Linked DNA regions of Oreochromis niloticus. The protein of the gene in region 2 purifies or fractionates together with the protein of the main gene of each other region. This does not show direct contact. Links are inferred from orthologs where the notes say so. Each region holds a gene or a part of one and is shown on either strand. Other genes may lie near its edges.

What was found. The genes of interacting proteins can lie anywhere in the genome.
Region 1: the proteins of nek2 (region 2) and anapc4 purify together in Homo sapiens (affinity purification with mass spectrometry; 6 studies listed by BioGRID and IntAct, with this or other methods). This does not show direct contact. The link is inferred for Oreochromis niloticus from reciprocal best matches to the Homo sapiens genes NEK2 and ANAPC4.
Region 3: the proteins of nek2 (region 2) and anapc7 purify together in Homo sapiens (affinity purification with mass spectrometry; 3 studies listed by BioGRID and IntAct, with this or other methods). This does not show direct contact. The link is inferred for Oreochromis niloticus from reciprocal best matches to the Homo sapiens genes NEK2 and ANAPC7.

The regions. Positions count from the first base shown.
Region 1 is NC_031986.2:37,126,208-37,129,961, reverse strand, and holds the start of anapc4 (anaphase-promoting complex subunit 4), read right to left. Parts: upstream 2,543-3,754; 5' UTR 2,279-2,542; intron 189-2,278; 5' UTR 181-188; coding exon 73-180; intron 1-72. UniProt on the Homo sapiens protein: Component of the anaphase promoting complex/cyclosome (APC/C), a cell cycle-regulated E3 ubiquitin ligase that controls progression through mitosis and the G1 phase of the cell cycle.
Region 2 is NC_031980.2:13,554,070-13,557,823, forward strand, and holds the start of nek2 (serine/threonine-protein kinase Nek2), read right to left. Parts: upstream 2,581-3,754; 5' UTR 2,373-2,580; coding exon 2,277-2,372; intron 1,873-2,276; exon of another isoform or gene 1,782-1,872; intron 1,629-1,781; coding exon 1,411-1,628; intron 1,321-1,410; coding exon 1,080-1,320; intron 907-1,079; coding exon 824-906; intron 724-823; coding exon 597-723; intron 1-596. UniProt on the Homo sapiens protein: Protein kinase which is involved in the control of centrosome separation and bipolar spindle formation in mitotic cells and chromatin condensation in meiotic cells.
Region 3 is NC_031977.2:6,448,743-6,452,496, reverse strand, and holds the start of anapc7 (anaphase-promoting complex subunit 7), read right to left. Parts: upstream 2,926-3,754; 5' UTR 2,809-2,925; coding exon 2,708-2,808; intron 2,225-2,707; coding exon 2,038-2,224; intron 1,505-2,037; coding exon 1,385-1,504; intron 731-1,384; coding exon 619-730; intron 456-618; coding exon 302-455; intron 210-301; coding exon 67-209; intron 1-66. UniProt on the Homo sapiens protein: Component of the anaphase promoting complex/cyclosome (APC/C), a cell cycle-regulated E3 ubiquitin ligase that controls progression through mitosis and the G1 phase of the cell cycle.

The sequences.
Region 1 (3,754 bases), on a different chromosome or scaffold from region 2:
TAAAGTATTAAAAAGCACACACACACACACAGAATACGGAGCTGTGTTTCAGAATAATTGTTTTAATAGTACCTCTCCAGTTGTGTTGGCCAGAGCAATCAGATCCCTCTTGGGAGACCATGCCATACACAGTACAGGGTTAGGAAGTTGCTTCTCTCCTACTTGCCGAAAGGCAGGCATTTTCTTGGCTGAAAAAATGTTAATAAAAATAAGAGATATCAGCTTTCAAAAATACTTGGAAAACACATTTTTTGTTAAGCGTTTCGTGAACGTTTTCTCTGTACAGTTTTGCTTTTATTTGTGTCAGAGCCAAAAAAATCAGCTGAGCCTTTGTTGAAGAATGACACTATTGTGCTTATGTCAAACTCTTTATTTGACAGCAGAAACAAATAGTATGTTCATTACCTCCCTTGAAAAAAATACATTTTTCACTGTGATACTGATCAACAATATTATTACAATTCACAAATCAGACACTACTATCAATCGGTTATTTGCAAAAAGTACAGAAAACTAACTAATTAACAGCTTCAATTTTTTTTTAGCTAATTATTTGTACTATTAGTGTTGTTGACGTTGAAGGAAAAACTAAAGTCAGGTCTCTTAGTAAGATGTTTGGCCACCAAGTGCTGCCAGAACACATTAAATGTACCTTAGCATTGATTTCTTCTCTGCAAATCAATGCTAAGAATGAAAAATTACTAAACAAATACATTCTGAAACTACAGTTACTTGTGTTAAAATGTAGATTCTAAAGAGTCTAATATGTCTTTAAAAATATATGCAATTTCCATGTAGATATATTTTTCCAGTTATAACATGTTCCTTGTCGTCTCTTTTATAAGAGAATGAAGAGGAAAAAAAATTATATATAAAATAACTAGATGATTTATTAACATCTCAATATTACAGCTGTCTTTTTAGCCTTAAATTCAAGGTTAGTACATACAGTATAGTGACCTTCTTAAACACTGATACCACCAGGCTGTTTTTTAATTGATTCACCATTCTGTTTATTTTTTGTGCCGTGGGCTGTTTCAAGCAAGATAAGACACAAGATAAGATATACTAAGATAGATGTAACTAATGCCTGATTCATTTTTGTGAGTGCACTTTTTTTAAATGATCATTATTTACTGATGCTCGTCTCTGCAAAAATTAAATGAAACATATAGAATAATTAAAGAGAAAAAAGGACTCGGTCAGGTCGGAGCTGCTGATACTCGCTGCCAGCTCGGAGCGGCGCTTGAAGTATTAATGCTTTATTAATTAATATAACCTGCAGATAACATACTCATTGTACCTGTCCAAAGAAAACGTTTCTGTAGTGAACCACAGTTTCTGTACAGGTATTTCGGGAAGCAGACAGGTAGGGGTGTTTGAGAAAAGGTAGCAGGGCATTAGCCTCTTAGATCAAATTCAGCCTGCAGAGGTGTAAATCACACCACTGGCTGGTAACTTTTGGCCCCCCTTTCTCCCTTGAAAATAAAATGAATCCACGAGTTTGATTTGGCAGATTTTGCACCAGACGTAACGCTCTCACTTACCAGGGAGCTTTAAAAGAAGGTGAATGTGGTAACCACTACACAACACTCACACCACTTTCAGCTGAATACTGAACTGGCCCCTGTACTGGGGTGTCATATCAAAGTGCCTTGAGACAACTGCTGTTGTGATTTGGCGCTATATAAATAAAACTGAATTGAATTTAAAATTGAATGTCTTTATGATTAAAAAAACTGAAACAAAATCTGAAAATACGCTGAGCTTTCTAAAGGAAAAAAGGGACAGCAGATTATTTTGAAAAACTGCAGTAATTTCTGACATAACTGTAATTTTTACCCACTGCAAAGGCATTCAGTGGGTCACTACTGTTCCTTGAGAGTTATGCTTAACACCCAGGCCAAAGGGGGCAAGTGGAGCCAAACCATGCCCGTAAAATGATCTCATACGCCAAAAAAGATCCCCTTAAACACAGGGTCAAAAGATTCAGAACTTTTCTTTAAGTTGTCATAAATCTGTATCTGTATTGTCGTGGACCTCTAATATGATTATGGAGATCATATTAAACAACACTGTTATAGTGCATTAAGATAAACAGATTCACTGACTGATAAAAATCAGATTTCTTTATAGTTTTCTGACAGGTTCCTGAACCTCATGAGGTTACTTCTTATGATCTCTGTTAAAAACAGCCAGGCATTAAAAAATAAAAATAAATAAAATATCTAAACCTAAACCACAACCTAAATCTAAACTAATCTGAAGCTTCACTTACCGTTTAAAGCTGACAGATGAGATCTTTCTGTTCCACTGATATTATGCTAGCGGTTTTGCTAGCAAGCTAATGCAGAAAGAAGGCCATGGATAATATTTTTTATGATTTAGGACATTACAAGCGGGGAAATATGATAACCATAATACGACACAGTGAGTTCCAAACTGTCTTGCGCCGCCGAAATTTTAATTTTAAGGCGGCTTCGCGATGTTTTTACAACTACGCGGACGCCGCCATTTTTTTCTTTTAACCAATCATTGCGGAGCGACGGCGGAAAGCAAGGGACAAATTTACTAAGAGAGAAACGCAATTTAATGAAACTTGAAATGACAACTGGAAAAGTGCAGATGGCACAAAGTTGTACTTCTCACTTCTCTCCTCTGATGATTTAAAATGTTTTCACAAACTAATGAGCTGCATCGATTACATTGACTAGTGAATTTATCAAATGTGTTTAGAACTGAACAGAAACAAGATACAAATACTTGTTGTTTGTCCAAAAAGTCAAAGACAAAAAATTTGTTCTTATTTGTCATCAGTTTCTCTGAAACACAGTGAGCAAGTCAGGAACCTTGGCATCATTTTGGACAATGATCTCAGTTTTGATAATCCCATCAATAAGGTTACCTTGACTAAAAATATGTCTAAGGTTAGAAAACTTCCATCACAAGCTGACTCTGAGAAACTGGTCCATGCATTCACATCAGGTAGGTTAGATTATTGCAATGCTATGTGTGACCTCTCAGGTCATTTGATTTAGACTTTTTAACTGTTCTTAGAATCAGATCTAAGTATGCTGAAGGTAGGTTCAGTTATTGTGGTCCTATTCTTTGGAACAAGCTACCTGCTGACTTGAGACCAATTACATTTGTATGTACATTCAAAAACTGAGTAAAAACCTTTCTATTCACACAGTCCTACAATTTATAAGTTTGTTTGTTTTTTTATTTTTTATTTTTTTAAATTTTGTTTTGTTCTGCTTTGCTGTTTTCACTGCCTTAGGGCACTTTAAACCTACAGAGTTATTAATATTTTTTCATTTTCATGTCGACTTTTCATGTAATGAAATGTGCTATATAAATAAAATTGTCATTGTCATTGTTATATGCAACACATGGCCCTTTCTGTATTGTTATACACCAACTAAAAAAAGCAGAGACTTGTCAATTTTATGTCTGTATTCTTTAATGATTGAATTTAATGAGTCTAAAAACAACTGAAGACTGAAGCAAACGGTTTTTAGCACTTAAAAAAGCAGACAGATGTGCAAAGCCATTTTAAACTGACACTAAAGAGTTTTAGCCATTCTTAATCTTCAGAAATCCATTGCAAAGAAACTGTTTTGTGTTGTTCACATTCATTTATGCACGTTTTAACATGTCTGTTTTTGTGCAGCAGTAGAAACAGCAGAAACACTTCAGCTGTAATAAATAACTCAGGAGCTTTTGACTTCCTGGGTGTATACCTGGTTTATTT
Region 2 (3,754 bases):
GTGTGTGTACCCCGGATAAACCTCTTTTCTGATTCTACTCCAGGGCAGCTGTAGCTTGGGAGGTAAAGCTACAGCTGCCCTATTTGTAGAGTGGGTGGTTTGATCTTGGCTGCTGCAATCCACATGTCAAGTGTCCTTGGACAAGATACTGAACAACAAATTGGCCCAGTTCAGGATCTACCGGAGAGTGAGCAAGCGTGAGAAAGTTAGAAAAAGCACCTAAAGGCACCGTATGAATGTGTGTGAGAATGGGTGAATGTGGGTGGTGGTAAAAAGTGCTTAGAGTTCTCATTTAACTAGAATTTATAAAATTAACTTCACGTTTTATTCAATGACCTAAAACTAGCACTTGACTCCATAAAGTCATGAGGAAAGTGTTTAGGGAGGGAGCTGAGGGCCAGTTTGCCATGGACAGCACTAAAACTAGAGCAGTTGCCCCCTGCAGGCTGTTAGAAAGAATGCAAGGTTTGAAGTATTTCTGCACAGGATTCCCTTTTCCAGATGTGGACATGCAGTCCATCTTTTATACCGTCTAAAATAATCCAATAGCTCAGGCACCATATCGTGTAAATTTTAAAAATAAATTCAATTCCAACCTTTAAGTTGAGCATTTTGCCGAGCAGGGTGTTCAGCTCCTCAGAGTACCGGTACGGGATCCTTCTGAACTTCCCCTCTCTGATCTTTTCTGCCAGCTCTTTTTGGTTGTAAGCAGTAAAAGGAGGCCTGGAGAGGAAAACGAAAAATGCAGGAAAAACTGCAAGATCTGCAGCCAAACAGTTTGCAGTGGGAAAATCAGCTAAAGCGGAACAGCTGGAAAACTTACGATAAGGCACAGAGTTCGTAGAGCAGACATCCCAGAGACCAAATATCGGACTTCTCGTTGTATGACATCCGGTTTATTTGTTCCTGACAGAAGAAAAGAGATAGTGTTAAATGCTTATTAAGCTATTTGTCCCTATTTTTTTTTATCATGAAGTAAAACAAAGATTAGCAAACAAGAATAAAATCAAAAGTTCAGGCAAGGAAAGTTGTAAGCTCAGGTTAAACGCTTCAAACTCCAGCAGCATGAAGCCACTCACTGGAGACATGTAGTACGGCGTCCCGACAAACGTCTTTGCAAAGCTGGTGTCATGGTTCAGGATCCTCGCCAGGCCAAAGTCACCCAGTTTGACGTTCTGCCTGATGTCGAGGAAGATGTTGGCTGGTTTCAGGTCCCGATGAAGGACGGTGGCCCTGCCGTCACTCCGCCTGTGACACTCCTTCAGGGCCAACGTGAGCTGGGCCATGACTCGCTGGACGAACTGCTCCTCCAAATAGCGCCTGTCAAGGTAATAAACACATGCATACACCTGTGAAGGGAAAGGACACACCAGCATGCAACCTTCAGTATCATTTAGCATTCAACCCCACCTCTCCTTGATGCAGCGGCTGATGAGACTGGACAGGTCGCCGCCTTCGCAGTACTCCATGACGATGTACAGAGTGGTGTTTGTCCGGTCTATGATGCGGTCGTAGTACCTCACTATGTTTGGGTGCTTGAGCTCCCTCAGCAGGTTCACCTCTGACACCAGCATCTGCTTCTCACTCTCAGCCATGGTGCCATAATCCAGCTCCTTCCACACCAGGATCTACGATACAAACCAGCTTTTAATTATCCAGAATTACAGAGGTAAAATTCAAAGAATGGTGGTTATCTGAATCAGAGAGCAGAGAATGTCTTTCAATAAAGACCAGTGTCGTAGACAGAAGACAAGTGGAAGCTATGGAAAAGTAAAGCTAACTTGGGCAACTTGTCTTTACTCTAGAACAGGAGTGGGGGAACTCCAGGCCTGGTGTCCTGCAGGTTTTAGATATGTCCATGATCCAACACAGCTGATTCAAATGGCTAAATTACCTCCTCAACATGTCTTGAAGTTCTCTAGAGGCCTGGTAATGAACTAATCATTTGATTCAGGTGTGATGACTGAGGGTGATATCATAAAATATTCACATATTTTATGTGAATATAAAAATTCACATAAAATATTAAGTCATTAATAACCGACCTTTTTAATGTTAAGCTGCTCATTTCTAAGGTCCACATTACAAGCTAACACCTTAAATTTTCAAACATTTCTGTGACGCTACAGGCAGGTAGCCATTTGTTAACGGTTTGATATAAAGTTTCTTGAGGTGGGGGGAGAAAAAACAACATGACTGCGACAATATTGCCCCGCGGACTAACGGGCAACAGGTGAGTTTAACCCACAGGTGTGCGGGAAGTGTGTTTTACTCACCTTTCCGTCAGCTTTTCGCTTTATTTTCTGGCATCTTCCATATGATCCGGAGCCTATAGTGTGCAGCACCTCGTAGTCCTCCACCCGGGACGGCATGCTGATTTGTAACCGATTCTAACGTTCAAAACTTACCGGACTGGCGTCACCGTCAGCTGACGACAACGTAAATGTAAACTGGGGGTAGCGTCTTCCAATACAGGCTCTCAGTTTAATCCTAAGCCGCCTTTTCTGTCTATGTACATGTTTAAATGGTTAAGATTCATTTACTTATCTTTCTTTCCTCTATCGTGTGTTAACTACCAAAACAGGAAGTGATTACTCTGTTTAAATTGGTGCCGAAATCCTTGATATTGTGATTGGCCTTGCTCGCGCAGCTGATTGGCAGCCGATTGGTCAGCGCAGAGACGCAAATTGTGAGGTTGCAAAGCCCCAGAGTACCGCGAGAGTTGAGCGGGTAGACGACACACAGGAGTTGTGCTCTGGCTCTCCACGAGGTGGCGCCAGAATCGCACGGTCCGGGTGAGCGCAACCGCGCGTTTGGGAGCCGGCATCGGCGCAGCGTGAAGGTAAACGGGGTCAGGAAATTCATTTATTCAGAAAAATTGGATTTTAAGATAGTTTGATAAAAAAAAAAAAGAAGGCGGAACTGGGATTTGCCATTCTTTTTTTTAAATGTATTCCTCTCTGGAGTGGAAGGAGATAGTATGTACAGGGGGTTTTTTGCGCATATTGATAAAAAGAATGCGGTTTTAGTCACGTGTGGCCCGAACGACACCTCAGCAGCACTGCCGGTTTTGAGCTCCCAATAAGATTTAATTTCTCTTTCACAACCAGCTTTATTATGATTTATATATAATAAAATAATAACTATGGGGAGAAAAGATAAAAACCTTTTAGATTGTTTTGCGGAGATATATGGGGATCTAAAAAGTGTCTCTTTTAAATAGACACATAATAACAAAATTAAATATTTTTTTAACCTTTTCTGCAGAATATTTTTTTGAAAATCATCTGAGAATTAATATATTTACTGGCAGTTTTTAGTGTTTATGTAATTCTGTTAGGTTAGTATGACACTGTGGCTTTTATTTTCTACATGTAAGGTATGCACAACATAACTTGAAATATGTAAAGACAAAAAATTTTTACTTGTTTGACAAACGCTTCTGTTTACCTCTTGGGCCTGTCTTTTGTACTGGGGGACTGGGATTTATGGTTTTACAAGGAACAGCAGGAGTAGCTGTCTAGAATATTAATCATGCAAAGAAGGGAACCGCTCAATAATATATCCATAACAAAGGATCAAGTAACTTTTTTTAAGGCTATGTGAAATCATTGGAAAACCTAAATGAGGTCTGAAGCAGTCTGAAAGATCAAATTAAAAACATGCATCTGTGTAAATGTTTGCCATCTCTGAAGTTGGTGCAGAATGATCCTCGGAGACACAAAAAGGTCGCCGACTGTCAGTGCCCAAGACT
Region 3 (3,754 bases), on a different chromosome or scaffold from region 2:
GATAATAAAACTGTCATCAACTACAAAATACATGTGTAAGTCAAAAAGTTCTCTCCTGTAACGCACCTTTGATGAGGTAAGGGTCCAACATCTGGGCTTGTTCAAATTTGAGAATTGCATTTTTCGTGTCACCTGCCCTGAAATAGACATCTGCCAGGCTCACCAGGAGGTCCACGTTGTCCCGCAAAAGTGATTTCTTCTCCAAAGAGCTGAGAGTGTTTCAGGGAGGAAGTTAAGACTGTCACAAAACATGGCTCACAATATTCAGTCACTGTGTACAAATCATTATTGCTTTGCTCACCAAATGGTATTAATAGCTCTCTGGTTATCCCCTGCATGTATGAAGGCGTACGCTTTGATCCAAACAGACAGCCAGTCAAGGTTGGGGATACTCTGGATCGCGTCCATAGTCATGGAAGCCACCTCGGCTCCTTTGACTGACAGAGAGAGAAGACCTAAAGGAAAAACACATTTTTCAATTGTTTAAAAGAGATGCTAAATCCAAGCAGACAGTTTGTTTTAAAGCGGCATGGACATAGGAGAGGACTGCAGGTACAAACATCTTAGCAGATGAAGTGCTGCTTGCGAGATTACAGAGTCTACGGTGAACATGCATACCAATGATTGCATCCAAGGCAAGAGGGCACTGTCTGAGGACCTCTTTGTAACTCGTCACAGCAGATCGCTCCTGTCCAGCTTTCCTGTACAGGTTAGCTAGCATCATGTTGATCTGAGGCAGGAAGGAATGCAAAAAGGTAATTACTACAACTTATACAAGTTACTGCACTTGAGCTGGTTTCAAAAGGTTAAATAGAGCTTCATACAGTTCCATATCATATGAGCCCCATTTCAACAAAACTGGACGAATAACTTAGGAAGAGTAGAGTTCTGAAAACTAGTACACAACACTGCTTTGGCCCTAAATTTACCAGAATTCAGGGGTCAGAATGAATGTAGGTAATTTCTGATTTCAATTAATGACTTCTGTTCTTATAACTAATACCCTAGCATATCATGAAAACCAACCAACTAACAAATTTTAGCATCAGTGAACAAATTTTAGTAAGGTTTGTTAAGATTCATTTCAGTCGTATTTTTGACTGTAGACCAGTCTTTGGCTTCAAACTGTAACTGTCACACTATTTCCAATTAACAGATTTCATACTGCTAGTTTTTACTTAGAAGGTGATTTTACTTTAAAACAACTACTGCTGAATTGTTACCAAACCTAAACTTGTAGGTACATTCATTATTTAGTTCTAAAGCAACTATTTGAATTCACACAGTTACTAGTCTAATCAGTTAGTATAAAAAATAAATAAATACATAAAACTAAAGCATGAGGTAAACAGTGACTGACAGTCACTGTGTTAACAGACTGTACCTTCGGAGTCCTCTGTCTGGATGGTATCCCATCGAGCACTGCAATGGCATCTTTATCCAGTTTCAGAATGGTGTAGCACTCAGCTATTTTGTACTTTACCTCAATCTCTGAAGGCAAACTCTGAAAGACAACATTCATTGTAGATGTACATTATTCTAACCAGTCATCCTGTGCTCTGGATATTCATGTGGTGCTGCAGGACATCTAAAACCATCTTTACATTTAAGGCATTTTAATAAATCACTGGCAGGATGAAAGCCTTAGATTTACGTTGTGTGAAAGTAAAGTAAAATGAGATTTTAGTGTTGTTAAAAAAACAAACAAACAAAAAAAAACACAACTGCAGGTAAAGACACCTCAAATTACCAGAATGTTAGTGGCTGATAAGGATCTACATTACTCCAGTCAAACTTTATCAAATGTAATTATTAAATGTTTCAATGAGAAAGGCAACTTTTAATTACTATGGAAAGAGTCAAAAATTCGGGAGAGATGTTGGGCGTCAGCAACCCTAATGTTCAATTCTGTGTCAAGCCAAGCCAAGCCAAAGATTTCTATAACAAATTTAAAATAAAAAATAAAATCCCCCAGGTGACCAAAGTGCTATTATAGATTTCAGGGGTTTTTTGTTTACAGGAAATTGTCAAACACACCTGTGCCTGTATGTTAGAGGCAGCTCCACCAGTTGAAGTACGAACTTTTGATGTTTTGCTGAGCACCTTCTTCTGTTGCAGAGCCATGCTGTATTTGCAGGCAGCGTTGCGATACTCTTTGTCATGGAAGATGGCATCAGCATGGTAAACCAGCAGCTGGTACTTCTGAGCCGGCGAGAACAGCTCTCTTCCATTAAAAAAAACAACAACACACAAACAATAAAGTGCTCAGACTGAGGAAAACCATCAAAACTGAATGACACACGAAAAAACATCAATGCACAAACTCATAAAAATTGTCCTACACAGTTACCGTTTTTAAGTCAGTCACTCTAGAGTGTCAAAAGTATGACTGGGTAAGAGAACATTTACGACAAGTTTTCTAATACAATACTAGCTAAATTTCAAGCTATTTCATAGCAGCATTGTTAAGTGCATACGCTTGTAGATGCGACTATATAGTGAAGGAGTACACACAGTGTAAACAATGTATATAATTTAAATTGCACTCGCATTTAAACACTATCCAATAATGAGTGGATAATGAAAAGCTTCAGTAGAAATAATAATGTTAGCTGTTGTTGACTAGTTAGCTTGGGGGTATCGCTACCACTGGTATTGAAAAGCAGTCTTCGGGAATTAGACGGTTCCCGCTCAGACCACGACTTACGGATTGTTGTTGCTCATCGTCAGCAACAAACTACTCAAAATCCGGACATTAGAGTAAAGGCCTGCTGCAGCCATATCCCGCACATAATCTATTACATTCATTTTGGATTATTTGAAAGGCTCGCTGTAGGTGTCCGGCTCAGGTTAAAAGTTTGGGCTCTGGAACGGCTAATGTTAGCTAGCATGTGACGCATAAGACGTCCAACGGCTGACCTTCCTTCCGCATAGTGCTGCGTTTAAATGCTCTTCAAAAGCTCGTATATTTTCAAAACTTTAAAATAAAAACCTGCCTGAAATCTTTGATGTTGAGTAAAATAAGTATTTTATCGACTTTACTTTTATTTTAGGGACGTTGGACGAGAAATTACATTTTACAAAATATTTTACAGACCAAGGCGTCTTTATTTAATTATTCTAAATTTGTTGAATCTCACATGTCGCGATAGCTTTGAATGCATCATATTTGTTTTTGCTGCAGCACTATTTTTAAAATAGTTGGAAATTTTGTTTCAACTATTGACCTAAACTGTCGTATTTTATCAAATCACGCTATTGCAAAATTCTGTAATAAAAGTACGTGATATAATTATAATATATTAAAACAGTTTACATTGTCGCTAATCTAATATTAAAATATGAGTCAAAAACAAAGGCTTCAGACTACCCTATATGCTAATTTTGAGATAGTGGATGAAATATAATGAAGGTAGCAGTGAGCCCCACTATTATACGAATAAGGATTATTTTGAACTGTTAATGGAGCTGGAAAAGAGTATAACACGTTCTCTTTAATGCAAAAGAACGGTGAGCTTAATATATCATCTGATTTTCTTTAGATGTGTACACATGGTAGCTTTCCAGTAGTGGATTTCAAAATATTATTTGGTTTTCATATGTACCTGTTTTCAGTGATATCAAGTTTAATAGCAGGAAATCTTTTTCAAGTAACCTATATTTGACAACAGCTTAATAAAACTGGAAATTCTGTTTTTGGTGTGCCACCCCAATATTTTAGTGGCCCCCATATGGCCACCCTTTTAAAAATATT